2 linked regions of the Oryza sativa Japonica Group genome follow. Each later gene encodes a partner of the first gene's protein in a complex. Links are inferred from orthologs where the notes say so. Each region holds a gene or a part of one and is shown on either strand. Other genes may lie near its edges.

Evidence for each region.
Region 2: conserved oligomeric Golgi complex subunit 7 (region 1) and conserved oligomeric Golgi complex subunit 5 share a complex: the UniProt entries of both Arabidopsis thaliana proteins name them as parts of the conserved oligomeric Golgi complex. The link is inferred for Oryza sativa Japonica Group from reciprocal best matches to the Arabidopsis thaliana genes EYE and AT1G67930.

What each region holds. Positions count from the first base shown.
Region 1 is NC_089040.1:28,594,641-28,602,187, reverse strand, and holds the start of conserved oligomeric Golgi complex subunit 7, read left to right. Parts: upstream 1-2,871; 5' UTR 2,872-3,106; coding exon 3,107-3,394; intron 3,395-4,341; coding exon 4,342-4,431; intron 4,432-4,536; coding exon 4,537-4,656; intron 4,657-4,744; coding exon 4,745-4,846; intron 4,847-4,933; coding exon 4,934-5,184; intron 5,185-5,339; coding exon 5,340-5,485; intron 5,486-5,655; coding exon 5,656-5,854; intron 5,855-5,965; coding exon 5,966-6,632; intron 6,633-6,928; coding exon 6,929-7,261; intron 7,262-7,518; coding exon 7,519-7,547. Other genes in the region: protein REVEILLE 6, read left to right, coding at 487-546, 1,125-1,222, 1,306-1,321. UniProt on the Arabidopsis thaliana protein: Required for normal Golgi function. Necessary for embryo development and pigmentation, especially for the expansion of cells and organs, and for the formation of the organized shoot apical meristem (SAM).
Region 2 is NC_089039.1:18,420,357-18,427,704, forward strand, and holds conserved oligomeric Golgi complex subunit 5, read right to left. Parts: upstream 5,010-7,348; 5' UTR 4,931-5,009; coding exon 3,857-4,930; intron 3,081-3,856; coding exon 2,610-3,080; intron 1,502-2,609; coding exon 587-1,501; 3' UTR 373-586; downstream 1-372. UniProt on the Arabidopsis thaliana protein: Required for normal Golgi function.

The sequences.
Region 1 (7,547 bases):
GTTTCTGAATGTTCTATGATTATATCGTATCCTTTTCCCAACACAGATATTCTTAATTTTGAAGTAGCGGAAATGTTAGACAGATGTGCATTTATGGGGCCCCAGTTGTAGAACAGCTGTAAAAGTTTCAGTGATACTAACATTTCACTTCACTATTGTTGTTCTTAGAAGCCTTTCTTTGTTCAGTAAGGCCAAAATAAGACTTTGCATTCTCTTCCATTCATAGCTCTTACCCTTAACTAAAAAATCATCTGCTGCAACTTTCCACATTTGAAAGAAGTTATTCGTATATTTTATGCTAAACACAGTAGGAATTCATTGTATCAATATATATATAGGTTGTCTCACCATTCTACTGCATTGGTTTCGATCAATTCATGTTCTTCTATTTTATGGACAACCGTACCATTGTTACTTCTAGTTTTTCTTCACATAACTATTTTATTTCACTTGCAATGAACACTGGTTGATCTGACAAATTGACAGGTACTACTGCTGATGAGAAATCTGTCCATGAACTTAACTAGCCCCAACTTTGCGGCACATGTAAGTTGTTCTGTTTTTGTATTTGTTCTCCACTGATATTATGCATCTTGTAGCTATCTAAACATGTTATGAGTAATTTAGAGTTTGAACTGTACTAGCGTTAAGGTTTGCCATTTTGGCTAGTTATTGTGGTTAGGGTTCTTGTTAGCTGAATTTGTGTTCGAAGTTTGGGGTAGCTAATAATGTTTTAAATAACAAACAATTGACTGGCTACTTTCATGATTACTGTGATCAGATTGCATTAGTTGCCTACCACATGCTTACTCTCATCCACCTGTGTTCTTCTGGATATCTAGTGTCAAGTTGACCGCATCCATGTCCTCTCAAACTTACTTTGCAGGATTTGATCCTGATTGGGCTGGCTACAACAGCCATAGAAACTTTATACGGAACTTTTCTTTTTCCTGAATAACTAAATAGGATATTATTATCATGGTTTCGTGGTATATAGTTTCTACAGATATGAAATGCATTAGCTATGTCAATAAGGGCATATTTTATGTTCTACACAACACTTGCATTTGACTTCGATTTGTTATAGTGCAATGTCCTGACATTTTGACTCTACCTGATTGCAGCTGAGCTTGCTGTCATCATGTAATTCTGGTGGGGACCCAATTAAGTCTGAAGGCATGGAAAATCTTGGATCTCCACAGAGTTGCCATCTCCCGTTCATGTAATACTTCAGTTACTCTCGTTTTCTAGGTGCTTGTAATCTGATTTTATCCCATCTTGCTGAAGCAACTTTTCGTACTCCAGGGTAACAAGTGAGTGAGGGAGAACTGCTTGTATGCGGACGAAGCTTCAGTTGTTTCCACAAGACGTTCTTGTGTTCTCTTTGTACTGGAGTTGTGGACGGCTGATCCGGCAGTTTACCAACGCTAGCACGTGTTGTGGCCGTGGCATCTGTATAGCTTCCAATAATGCTCTAACCCTAGGCTAGTTTTGCTCATCAATCATGTTCATGTAGATAGCCAGTTTTGTGTGCTCAGCAATTCTTTTTCCCTCGGGGTGGGGCATGGCTCGAAATGTTTTTGTATGTGTACATCTTTGTATACATGTATGTAAATATGTGTGATCATGTAATGCTTAAAGATACTGTTGACTGATTTGAGGTAATAATACAATAAACCAGTGGGGCACTCGGGTGTAGTCTCTAGGGCGCCCCACTGTTGTGAAATGTGAGCTCTGAAGTTGTGGACTATCTTCAAAGCTATGACCTAGTCGAGATATGTGTTCATCTAAGTTCGTTTGAGTTTGCAGCTGGTATTGATTGCGCTATGGTTCTATAGCTGCTGTTGTACAACCCATCCCCAATGTACATTTTCGACCTTCTTGGCACCTGTTTGTATCCGAATACTGAATTGATATGCATTTTCATTTTATCTGAAACTGAAGTGCATCTTCATTTCTACCCTCATCATTTGCTCTTTGGTTTACAGGTTGCAGTTAAAAATTGAAATTTTTAAACTTCATTTTAAATTATTCTAGGTGTCATTTTCATCATTTTCTTTAAGCTGATAAAAGTAGAAATGTAAAACTCTACCCTAAAATCATATTCCATCACATTTATTTTCTACGGAATATTAACCACTTCCAAGATTGTTTTTTTTTTTCCCGAATTCAGCATGTTCCTATTCGGAATTCATGGCTGTTAGCGGCGTACCCCTCCATCCCATAAAAAACAACCTAGTACCGGATGCGACACATCTTAAGACTATGAATTTGGACATAAAATATCATATCCTATTCTAGATTCGTTTTTTCATGGAATGGAGGGAGTACCTAGTAAGGGTCAACAGAGGTCATTGAATACTGGTGATTTTTTTTTTACAGTTATAAGTTATGTATTTATACCATGTGGGACACCCTTACTAAGTTAAATCGAACACATGAGAAGGTTGCTTCATAAGTTAGATGAGCATAAGGACCATCGGTAATTTTCTTAGCGGGTTCACTGCTAATGGCTATGGTTGTATTAACTTATATTTTTTTGTTGTTAAGGGTGTAATGCCGCTGCTTGCAGCCATAACTAAGGCTATAGGGAGCGTTCTTCTGGCCGGCTACAATGGTTGCAGTTGTAGCTACGCACAGTGAGTGCGGCACTATTCGTGTCGATCATGGTGCAGTCACAAAAGCAACAGCCGAAAATGCTCATTAAATAGAGCCGCTTATTTTTAAGTTAATTAGAACTGATCTAAAAGTTTTACATATAAATTATATTTTGGTTGATACTAATAAAAACATGATGGCTGGAAACAACAAGACATAAATTTTGGAGGAAAAACCGCTGTAAAATACACTCCGTCTCCCACAAGAGAACACGCCATTTTGGCAGGCGTTTCCCCCTCCGAACTCCACCGAGGTGATCCCTCCCATGGCGGCCGTTAGCTACGAGTAGCCGCGGAGACGGAAGACTCTCCCACCTAGCAAAAGGACTAGTAGCAATCCAGCGAACTCAAAGCCACCCCTCCTCGTCTCCCTCGCCCAAGTCCACGGCGAGCCGCGGCGGCGGCGGCGGCGGAGGAGGAGGCGCAGCGAGTGGGAGGGGAGGCGGAAAATGGTGGTGGTGGACGCGTCGGAGTTCGGGGCGGAGGGGTTCGACCCGAAGCGGTGGATCAACGCGGCGCTGGACGCGCGCCACCCGTCGGAGCCGCTCGACCGCTTCCTCGCCGACGCCGAGGAGCGCCTCCGCTCGGCCGCCGACGACGCCGCGGCCGCGCTCGAGCGGGACAGCGCCGACGCGCTCCGCCGCGTCCCGCTCGCCTGCCGCGACGCGCTCCGCCTCCGCGACGACGCCGTCTCGCTCCGGTCCCATCTCGCCTCCGTCCTCCAGTCGCTCTCCCAGGTGCGCCCCCGCTCGCCTGCTAGTTGGATCTGGATCTCACAGTTCACTCGTGCACAATTGTACGTGTATCACGCGAAACCCAGATCATTTTGGAGGATTACGAACTTGCGATAATAGTTGGTGCGAATGAGCAAATGTTGAACCAATTTGGCACAATAGGTTTTAGTTTGATTCATTTATGCGTATGATTCAGCCTCTGGCCGCTTTTAGTACCCCCCGTTTTTTCACTTGGATCTGGATCTCACGTACTGTATTTGGTCATGTCAATTTTATCCTTGTACGCTTTGCATTGAACAGTGCGTACAACTAGAACTGTATTTAGTCATGTCAATTTTATCGCTGTACGCTTTTATCAAATGATATGTTAATTTGATCATCTCTGTTAACTGAAACTGAAGTCAGAATTTGCGTGGGCTTGGCAAAACCAAGCTGGAGCTCTGTTGGCAAAATCCTTGCATGTGTCGGGATGTTATAATGCTGTGTACTTATGCAATGCAGTTATGTGCATGTAAACTTTGAGTATGCTGTAGAGGACATTCAAATCCAGCAGTTCAGTGATGCCCATAAAACTATGCCTATAGTCTATTATAATGGGATACCGTCACTTATATCATTTAGTTCATATAGGTGATAGGTCAGGATGCTACATCAAATCACAAGCAAAACATTTTCTCCTGTAGCATGTACTTCTTGTTACGTGTAGCGTTATCTTCTCATAACATTTAGCTTGACATTTTGTAGAATACACTGGAATGAATTTGCTAGCACTAGAACTTTTTTTTTTGGGTACTGAGTGATTCCTTCTTTGTAACGGCCAATGCTGAATACTGGGTGTTAATGAATGAAATATGACATACATATGCATGTATGATCAACTAACTAGGTATTCAGTCCCATCTACATTTCATAAATTCTGTATTACTGATGATGATGATTTCTTCAATCAGGCTGAGGGTTCATCTGCAGAGTCAATAACTGCACTAGCACGAATTGATACTGTGAAACAACGAATGGAAGCGGCGTATGCAACATTACAGGTAAGTTGTATGTGGACTATGGTGCATGTTACTGAAGTAAATGCTTCACTCACAGTGGTAGGTTATCTTTTAATAGATTTAACAGCTTGTTGGTCGGAATGCCAGGATGCGGCTGGACTAGCTCAGTTGAGCCAAAGTGTTGAGGATGTATTTTCTAGTGGTGATCTTCCAAAAGCTGCAGAAACCCTGGCAACCATGAGACATTGCTTGTCGGCAGTTGGTGAGGTATTGTACTCTCTCACACAAACATGCACAGTACACTGAGTTTATATGCAGAAGCTATTTGTTTTGCTTATATAAAAGTTGCTTTCAGGTTGCGGAGTTCGCTAATGTGAGAAAGCAGCTTGAAGTATTGGAAGAACGGCTAGATGACATGGTTCAACCTCGTTTGGTGGATGCACTTTCTAACCGCAAGGTTTTTCTTACTAATCTCATTTATATTTGTTAAACAGTAGTACAGGCATCTCTATTTCATCTAAAGCCTACAAATTTTGGTTGGAAGGTCGATGCTGTGCAAGATCTTCGTGGAATACTGATACGTATTGGCAGATTCAAGTCACTGGAGGTGCAATATACTAAGATCCATGTCAAGCCTCTAAAGAAACTTTGGGAAGATTTTGATCTAAAACAGAGAGCTAAGCGGGTAGAGATGGAGAAGTATGGTGGAGAAAGCATAAACAGTCTCTCATTTGCTAGCTGGCTTCCAAATTTCTATGATGAGACACTACTTTACCTTGAACAAGAATGGAAGTGGTATGTTCATTGTACCCTGTTGTCTTTTGTTCTGAATCAGCAATGTTTGCCCTTGTAAACAGAAGCCAGTTTTTGGCAGCATCTTTTAGCTGCATTCGGACAATATTTTTGCTCCACCAAAAATTAATGGATGTTCTACAATGCTAATGCTGAAGGTGCCTGACTGCTTTCCCTGAAGAATACAAATCACTAGTCCCAAAAGTACTTGTTGAAACCATGAGTGAGTTGAATTCAAGTTTTGTCTCTCGTGTCAACCTAGCAACTGGAGATGCTGTTCCTGAAACTAGATCTGTTGCAAAAGGTAATGCATAAACTTCTCGTATTATTTCATTTTTGTATGTCTATACTAATTTCATGATTGAATTACATGTTTTATTTTTCTCTGTTCAATTAAAAAAGGATATTACTTGTTTGCCACATATGCGTACTTCTTTCGTAACAATAAATTGATTTTATGTCCTCTGTACCCAGGTATACTAGATGTTTTATCAGGTGACTTGCCAAAAAGTACCAAATTGCAGAATAAGCATCTTGGAGCACTGATCGACCTGCACAACATGACGGGCACTTTTGCTCGGAACATCCAACATTTATTTTCAGAGTCAGATCTTTTAGTTCTGCTGAATACATTGAAAGCTATTTATTCCCCATATGAGACTTTTAAAGCAAGGTAAAAAAAAAACTTGTGAAAAATTCTGTTGCATGCAGTTAACTGCATTGGTGAGATTTTTTTTGTTGCTATTGCTGTAGTACTCAGCCAGTGGTGTTTCATGCTATGTAGGTATGGGCAAATGGAGCGTGCTTTACTTTCTGCTGAGATGGCTGGTATAGATATCCGTGGGGCCATTGCTCGTGGTGTGGGTGCACAGGGTATAGAGCTGAGTGAAACTGTTCGTAGAATGGAGGAATCCATCCCACAAATTATAGTGCTTCTTGAAGCAGCTGTCGAGAGATGCATTAGTCTTACTGGTGGTTCAGAGGCAGATGAACTGGTATTGGCTCTAGATGACATTATGCTGCAGTACATATCAAACCTACAAGAAACTTTAAAATCCCTTAGGATTGTATGTGGGGTGGATAATACTGCACATAGTGATTCCTCTAAAAAGGAAGCAGGACTAGAGAAAAAAGAAGCACAACGATTGGTCGATGTCTCTGAAGAGGAAGAATGGTCTATTGTCCAGGGTGCTTTGCAGATTCTTACAGTTGCTGATTGCCTAACTAGCAGAACCTCAGTTTTTGAAGCTTCTTTAAGGGCTACTCTTGCCAGGATTGGAACCAACTTTTCTATTTCTGGTTTTGGTTCTAGCCTAGATAAATCAACTGCAGCAAATGGTGATGAGAATGCAGAAGTGCCTATCACAGGGAGGGCAGCACTTGATATTGCAGCTATTCGCCTCACCGATCTACCAGACAAGTCTAAGAAGCTCTTCACTGTACTAGAACAGGCAAGTTATATATTTTTAAATTATCTTGCTAGTGTCACAACACTAGAGTTATCACATGTTTCTCTGATTTGTTTGAACAGCCTGATTGCAAACTTAGGTGGTAGTATTAAGCTAGATTATCTGGTTTTATAGGAAATTCGGAGATCTTTTTTAGCTTTCCTTTTCTATTATGCATTTTTTTAAGCTACTCATATGTGGCATAGAACCTATTTTTTGACCTATAATTTCCCAAGTATCACAAGTAACTCTTTGTTTGTCTTCATGGCTAATTTAAAGATAACATTTCTGTTATACAGTCAAAAGATCCAAGGTTCCATGCTCTACCTCTGACATCACAAAGAGTTGCGGCCTTCTCAGACACAGTAAATGAACTCGTCTATGACGTGCTCATATCTAAAGTCCGACAGCGTCTCAATGAGGTTGCTCGCCTCCCAATTTGGTCATCGGTGGAGGAACCAGGTGGCCTTCCCCTTCCAAGCTTCAGTGCCTACCCGCAGGCATATGTGACCAGTGTTGGGGAGTATCTCCTAACTTTACCCCAGCAGTTGGAGCCACTTGCAGAAGGTATCTCAGGCGGTGAGGCTGGCAACGAGGAGGCTCAGTTCTTTGCTACTGAATGGATATTTAAGGTAATATATTCAAAGCATTTTTTTTCATCATGCTGTGTACATTCGCAACATACCATCGACAAAACCATTCATACTTCACACTGCGACTTTCGCAAATTCCGTACAGAAGAGTTGACCATTTAGAACTACATGCATTGCAACTGAATACAACATTACATAAAACCCCAATAATCTGACCACAACATAAACACCGAACCCAAATCTTTTGATGAATTAATCTAGAACTGTCTCTGATCTCTGTTTCCATGATGAACCAGGTCGCGGAAGGCGCCACCGCGCTGTTCAT
Region 2 (7,348 bases), on another chromosome or scaffold:
TTTTAGGGACATGTCCACTGTCACTACCATCTACTATCATGGACGGAGAGAAATAAAGCACAAATCTTAAGGAGATGCAAGGAAATAGAAAAGAAAATTCACAACGGCGATATTGATATGTTTTCCGATTGCACACCTCAAAAACTGCACAAAAACAATTGCATTATGCCTTACACGGAATTTTTTTTAAAGAACCCAAATTGGACTTTGGAATCTCTGGGAGTTCTCACATGAGTAGGTAAAATTCCTTCATTTCGGGTGATTTAGCACCAAAGATCATACATACAACTGGCAAGTGATCAGCGTGCCGCGCATGCAAAATTCCCATGCTTGTAGTCAAGCAGGCAGATGGAACAACAGGACTAATAGATGTACAATGATCAATCATATCACACACTTCACAACATAATAGGAGCTAGGAGAAAGAGTCTGTACTTTGAACACCTTTATTTCCATAAAAAAAACAAATGCAAATGCTATTTCATTTGTATAAACTATTCCAAAGCTCAATCGATCTCTCAAGTACCCAATGCCTACATGATGATGATACAAACATATGTGATGCTGGGTTGAACTGAACACAGGTTTAGCCCTTGGCCTGAGACAATGCAGATCCAATCTGAAGCATGAGAGGGTACACAGGGCTGAACTCCTTATCTCCGCGAGACCTGACCTTCATCTCGTAGTCATCCAAGGTTGCTTTCACCCCTTTCCAGATCTGATCCTCGCCCTGGGAATCAAGCCAGAGAGAATACTGCAGCGGCGTGAGCTTGTTACGCTGCAATGGAGACTGTAACTCATCAGGTCCTCGAGAATATAGGTGGTGGAGGATCACACTAGGGGGCAAGTCCTGAAGGAGTGGAGATTTCTCAAGCTGAGACGTCTCCAGGAATAGGACAGGCCTGAATGCACGCAGCGCCCGGTACGGTGCGCCTAGCTGCTCCACTGGAAACAGATTCTGACCAACAGCGAGCTCCAGCTCGGCCATGTCCCTTGTCATTCTCAGCTTCCCGGCTTCAGAGAGTGGCCTAACTAGAGAGGCGTGCCTTATGAACAATATGAGGACTCTTGAGGCCATACTTCTAACCATTATGGTACAGATGGTCTCTGAGCGGGATGATGATGAAGGTAGAAGCTTTGACAAGAACTCGCTACGGAAGTGGACAGCACACTTCTGCAGTTCCTCCATGTAAGCTGAAGCGTTGTTATCCATTGTTGCGTCCATTCCATGAGTTCCAAAGTCCTGCTCGTGCATTTTCAGAATGCATGATCCGAGACGATCAAACATTTCTTTGAATAGAGGGCTCACTGAATCACACGCGACTGTATAAATGGCCTCAAGGGATTTGGAAAGTTTTTCAGAGGTAACATTTGGAAGTGTTGACACAATGCTTGAAATACGTGTGTGAACATCCTGGAGGTGAAGACATAGAGCAAAGTTTTTCAGTTGAGCTGGAGTCACTGTGCCAGTAACTTGCCGGGCTTCAGTGCCAGTAGAGATCTGCATTGAAGCAAAATATACATCAGCGCCTAGCAGATGCATACAAAAACCAAGACAATGCCTGCAGCCAATTTATGGTCATTTTGCAGTTGTGCACTGCACGACAAGTGTATAAATGAACCCGTGCAGTGCGCGCACATACAAATAAGCAAGTATATCACATAGGAGGAAATGGTGAAAATAGTACTCAGTCGGTAAAACAACCAACAGCAAAGCAAACAATATAATTAGATTGTACGTGCATTTTTGCTCTCCAGCAAAGGCACATTGATCCAACTCTTCTATGCCGTAGATTTTAGAATGGCTTAAACCAGCGAATGTTGTCCATGTTTCATGATCTGCTATTCTGCTTAAGACGTCAGTCGCATTTTCTCATGCAGCAGTGCACTATAGGACATCATTTTTTTCATAATGCAAGTTCTATGCTGTACTCTCTTTACTTCAAATTGAGACAGAAGTTAAGAACACAAATTTTAGTTCACCAAACCAACATGATATCACTATTTTCTTGGAAACAACCAGCAGTCCCCACAAGTACACATTCACTGGGTTAGATTAAGATCTCTCTTATTTCACTCTGCGACCCCCAATAACCACAAAACTAACAAAAAAAACTTCCAGAATTTTATTCATCTCAATGAAAAGGCCAACTTTTATAACTAGAGGAGCTCCTAAGAACAGAATAACACAGGCACCAACAAATGCATTGTACATAGATTGAGGTGAATGAAAAGGTCGACCGAGCAGTGCATATTGAACATAGATTGAGGTCTGTGAGGTGACTGATTAGCTTCACAAACTTAGTCGAGAAAAGAGAACAATCCAATGCACAATAAGGACCTACAGATAGAGCTACAACCATCTGCTAGAAAAAAAAATCTTAAGTTTTTTTAACAGAATAAAATCTACAAAACAGTCAGTGAAACAGGTCATGACGTAAAAGTAACATATACAAGTTTCAAATCAAAATCATCAGAGTTTAGTAGTAGATTTACCATTCCATAAGAATCGCATATGCTAATATTTACATGACAAACTGAGAAAGCATACAAAATCCCTAGGAAAAACTAGAAATAAATAACTTCACTATAAAGTAGCAGGTGAATACCTGATATTCAGCTCTTTGTGCTAGGAGAAGCAAAACTTTTCCAATTTCTTGTAGAACACGAGCAAGCAAATGCCCATGAGTTCTCACAACTTCAACTTCCTCTTGGATGCGAGAAATTAACCTTGATATTTGGTCTTTTGAAGGTATACCACGGCCTGACATGGGAAATATGCTATTGATATAATCAGAGAGGCGACTATGACAAAGAGCCAGAAAGGCTGTCTGGAATATCTCAATGGCTGCAGTCATGTGGTTTTTCCCTACGGGAGTAAGAGCTGGAAGGGTGCCTTTTACATCGGTGTCTCTTAAAATCCTCTCGAGGAGGTTCTCAATCATTGAAAACAATCTTGGGTATCCAAGAGTAAAAATTTCCTTCACAAAGCTTGACGCTGTAAAGGCAGATTTCAGTTGACTTGCAAAGGCCTTAACAATAGCATCCCATACTCTCTCTGTTAACAGAGGATCACCCTCCTGCAATTTTTCTCATTGTCAGTGGGGCAAGAAACAGGAATCGGAACGCATGGTGAGCATGTCAATGCTAAATTTCAAAAAAAAAAAAAAAAGGTGAGCAATATCAAGATATTGGCACACAAGTATAAACTATTGACAGGTAAATATTAGAACGAGGAAAAATTTAGCACTTGATTGTACAGACCATGGAACATCCACACATAAATTTCACACAGCAGGAAGTTATAGGAGATAGAAAGGACTATATGTGTTTACTAGTGTAGTAAGTAATAACTCAGTATATGTTGCAACACTGAGCATCATGAATAGATAGTTCATATTACTTTCCAACTGACATCTTAAAGATAATTCATTATTCTAGAAGACTAGAACTGATATATTATATCTAATCCAAGGCATGCACTTATTTCTACTATCAACTACTTGAAAATGATATATCGTAAGATCCAATTTAGGTTGACAAATTACATTGTGATATATCATGCAAACCTGCCAACTCAAGTGTAAACAATATAGGATCAATAACTAAACATGTAGACTTAGATCAAATTTGTTCCCTGCAAAATAGTTACAGGTATATCGATGTAAATTATTCTGCCTAAGTCTCTCGGCTGCCAACATATCTCATGACTCACAGTCACAGACGAACATCATATTGTCAACAAAATCTTCATATAGTGTCTATTCGATGTTTACCAACTTTAACACATCTTATATTCTAAATTTCATTTCAATTAATTTGCAGCAATAGGATTAGCCCATTGATCAGGTCTCACCTGCCAAACCTCCTCGAGGAACAGCATTTGTGTGAATGGAACACGTTTCTTGGTGAGCACAGTCTGCAGCTGCCATGCGGCCGTGACCGACCGATGCAGCTCCTCCATGCACTGTCTCATCCTATCCCACAGTGCCTCCGCCGCCTTCTTACTGCCACCAATCTGTGGCGTGCCACTCCTCTGCACGCCTCCAGGGCCACCTCCACCCCCTGCAGCCATTGATATAGCCTTCATGTCCAGTGCCACAGCCACACTCTTCGCTCCTGCCGCCTTGTACTTCGCCACGAGCCCTTCCACTGCCGGCTTCAGTTCTCCGAGATTATAGTACACCTGCAGCCCGCACCAGACGTCGTTCTGGTTGGACTCAGCAATGCCGCGATCGATCACAGCGCTGGCCTCCGATCGGAGCTTAGAGGCAGCCGCATCGACCTTGCGCATCTCCTCGTCGACGGCATTGATGCCGGCGAGGTTCTTCTCCTCGTAGAGAAGGCGGATCTCGCGGTGGAGCTCGGCCTGGCGGGCGAGGTCAGGAGGCGGCGTGGAGGTGAGGAGGCGGGAGGAGAGGCGGACGAGGCGGTGGGAGTGGAGCAGGAGGTCGGCGGTGGAGAGGAGGGTGGAGAGGGAGGAGGAGGAGTGCGCGAGGTGTGCGCGCGGCGCGGAGAGATGGGAGGAGAGGAGCGAGAGGTGGGAGGAGAGGAGGTGGAGGTGGGAGGGGAGGGAGGAGAGCGAGGCGGAGGCGGAGCGGAGGGAGAGGAGGTGGGAGAGGAGGAGCGGGTGGCGGCGGAGCACCTCGGCGCGGAGGTGGCGGCGGAGGAGGCGGATGGCCTCCTGCAGCTGCTCGGCGCGGGAGGCGGCGAGGCCCGAGGAGAGCGCGGCGGAGGAGAAGTCGGAGGGGGAGAAGGACGGGGAGAGGAACGCGGAGAGGACCGGGTCGGAGGCGAAGGCGTCGAGCGGGGAGGCGGGATCGGAAGAGGTCGTCGGGGAGGGCGGCGACGGGAAGGAGGAGGAGGCGGCGGCGATGAGGTCCTTGGAGGTCGGCGAGAGGAGTAGCCGCGGCGTCGCTGGCGCGGCCATGGCGCGCGCGGTGGCCGCCGGCGACCGCGGGTGTTGGTGGTGGATCTGAGAAGCGGTGGGAGAGATGGGGTAGAGATCTGAGGAGAGTGGTCTCTCGAACTCGCTGCTTGTTTGGTCGTTTGGATTTGGCTGGAATGGGCCAAATTTTTGGAGTAGCTCGAATTTCCAGCCCATACTAGTAAATGGGCCGATATTGACGACTAAAGAGACAAGGCATTTGATGGGCTGGAAATTGATTTTAGTTTAGGCCCATCTAGTGAGATGGGCCATTTGGCGGGCCTCTTATACAAGGCCTTGATGGGCTGTAAAGTTTGGCCTGCTTGGTTGAACCCATATGCTCCAATCCAACGGACTTGAGGCCTGTTCACTTTGATGAAAAAAAAAACTTACTAAATTTTGATATTACCAAAATTTTAGTATAGTTGTCAAAATTTTAACAATATTTCTTATATAGTTACCAAAATTTGGCAGCAAACTAAATGTAGCCACTGTTTTGGTAACTTTACTAAAAATTGGTAAGATTGCGCGGCTCGGAGATTCCGGTGCTCGTGCTGTGTCGGCTCGGTAGCTTCCGCTATCCGCTCCGGCGGCGGCAGCGAAAACAGGGTGACGCAGGCAACTGCGTGACGATGCCTACGCCGGCGTGATCGCCGTGACATGGCTTGGCCGGTGCGGCTGCGTTGCATGGTCCGAGATCCGAGCGAATGAAGATGCCGGTGATCAGGCGGTGACTGCCATCTCGAGTCAGACTATGATAAGCTTCACGGTTTTGCTACTGGGCGAACGATTGCCCGGGGCGATCAGGGCCGCTCCGCCCCCCCCCCCCCCCCCCCACCACGTGGGTTCTTTTTTTTTTTTGCATCGCATTACTTTCCTATACACCTAAAGTTTAGAGACCCAGAGTTTATAAGTCAAAAGTTTATATATCCGATTCAAATTTGAATTTGAATTCAAATATTTTTTACATACAGTATTTCTATACATCTAAAGTTTATAGGCCTAAAGTTTAAGTCAGAAGTTTATATACCCGTTTCAAATTTGAATTTGAGTTATATCCGATTCAAATTTGAACTTGAATTCAAATATTTTTTATATATAGTACTTCTATACATTTAAAGTTTATAGATCCAAAGTTTATAAGTCAAAAGTTTACATACCCGATTCAAATTTGAATTTGAATTCAAATATTAGTTTATAGGCCCAAAGTTTATAAGTTAAAAGTTTACATACCTGTTTCAAATTTGAATTTAAATTCAAATATTTTTTATATATAGTATTTTCTATACATAAATTTTTCCAACTTTATTTTTTTATTTTTTTTAAATTTATGGTGTAGTAGGAAGAGAAGAAGGGGAGGAGGAAGGGAGGGAGAGTAACGTATAGGAGGATGGGGGGTGATCGCCTGGGGTGGTCACCCGCCCATTAGCCACCCCTTAAGCTTCCCTCTAAGAGCAAGTTTAATAATACAGCCCACTACTAACTTCAAAATTTAAAACATCATTTATAGTCTATCTAATAGCTTACTCATACAATAGTTAGCTGTAGAAATATACTGCATCATGAATGCATAATCCATCCATCTCTCTCACATAGTTAAAAATATTGGAGCTTGTGATGTAGCTGGTTACAAATCTGTAGCCCACTTTTATTCTCTCTCCTCTCATCTCTCCTCCACACAAGCACAAATCTGATGTGGCAACTTATATAGCCCACTTATGTTACCTTAGTAACTACCACGCACCGGCGGCCTCTTCCCTCTATCGAAAAGTTAGGGTTCATCCAAAATCCCCATCTACGAAGAAGAGCCATCAAATTCTCTAAGGAAAATTCCCCATCGGAAGTGATGACCGGCAAAGAGGGTGGGCTCAATCGACGCGTGATCACTGCGGCGACCGAGGAGGAGGATGAGGAGGCGGCATTGGCCAGTGAGAAGATATCAATGAAGGCGTGCTCTGCTCGAGGCACGGCGGCCGAGAAGGCGAGTGAGTCGGTGGCCCCATGAAGAAGTCATCCACCAAGAGGAAGGCGGTGGCCGCTGGCGTTTCTGATGAACAGGAACCTACCGATGCCGATCCCCGTGGTGGCGGTGATCGACGGCGAGAAGATCATGGTCCCGAGTGGGAAGATACTGCTGGCCAACAGGCTGGTTGACAAGATACTGGCCATCAAGAGGACCCTCCACATCGACGATCCTGGAAGAGGAGCCCAACCCTCTGGTGCCGCCGGAGCTGGAGGAGAAGCTCAACGAGGACGCGCGCTTAACGGCCGAGACGCTCTATGCCCGCCAGGACAAGCTTGTCCAGTGCCAGACCATGATCCGGAACCATTGGCCATCGCCACGAGAAGGGCTACACCATGGTCGACAACGACTAAGAGGCCAGGATAGCCATACACGCACCATCACCAGATTGTGTCCAC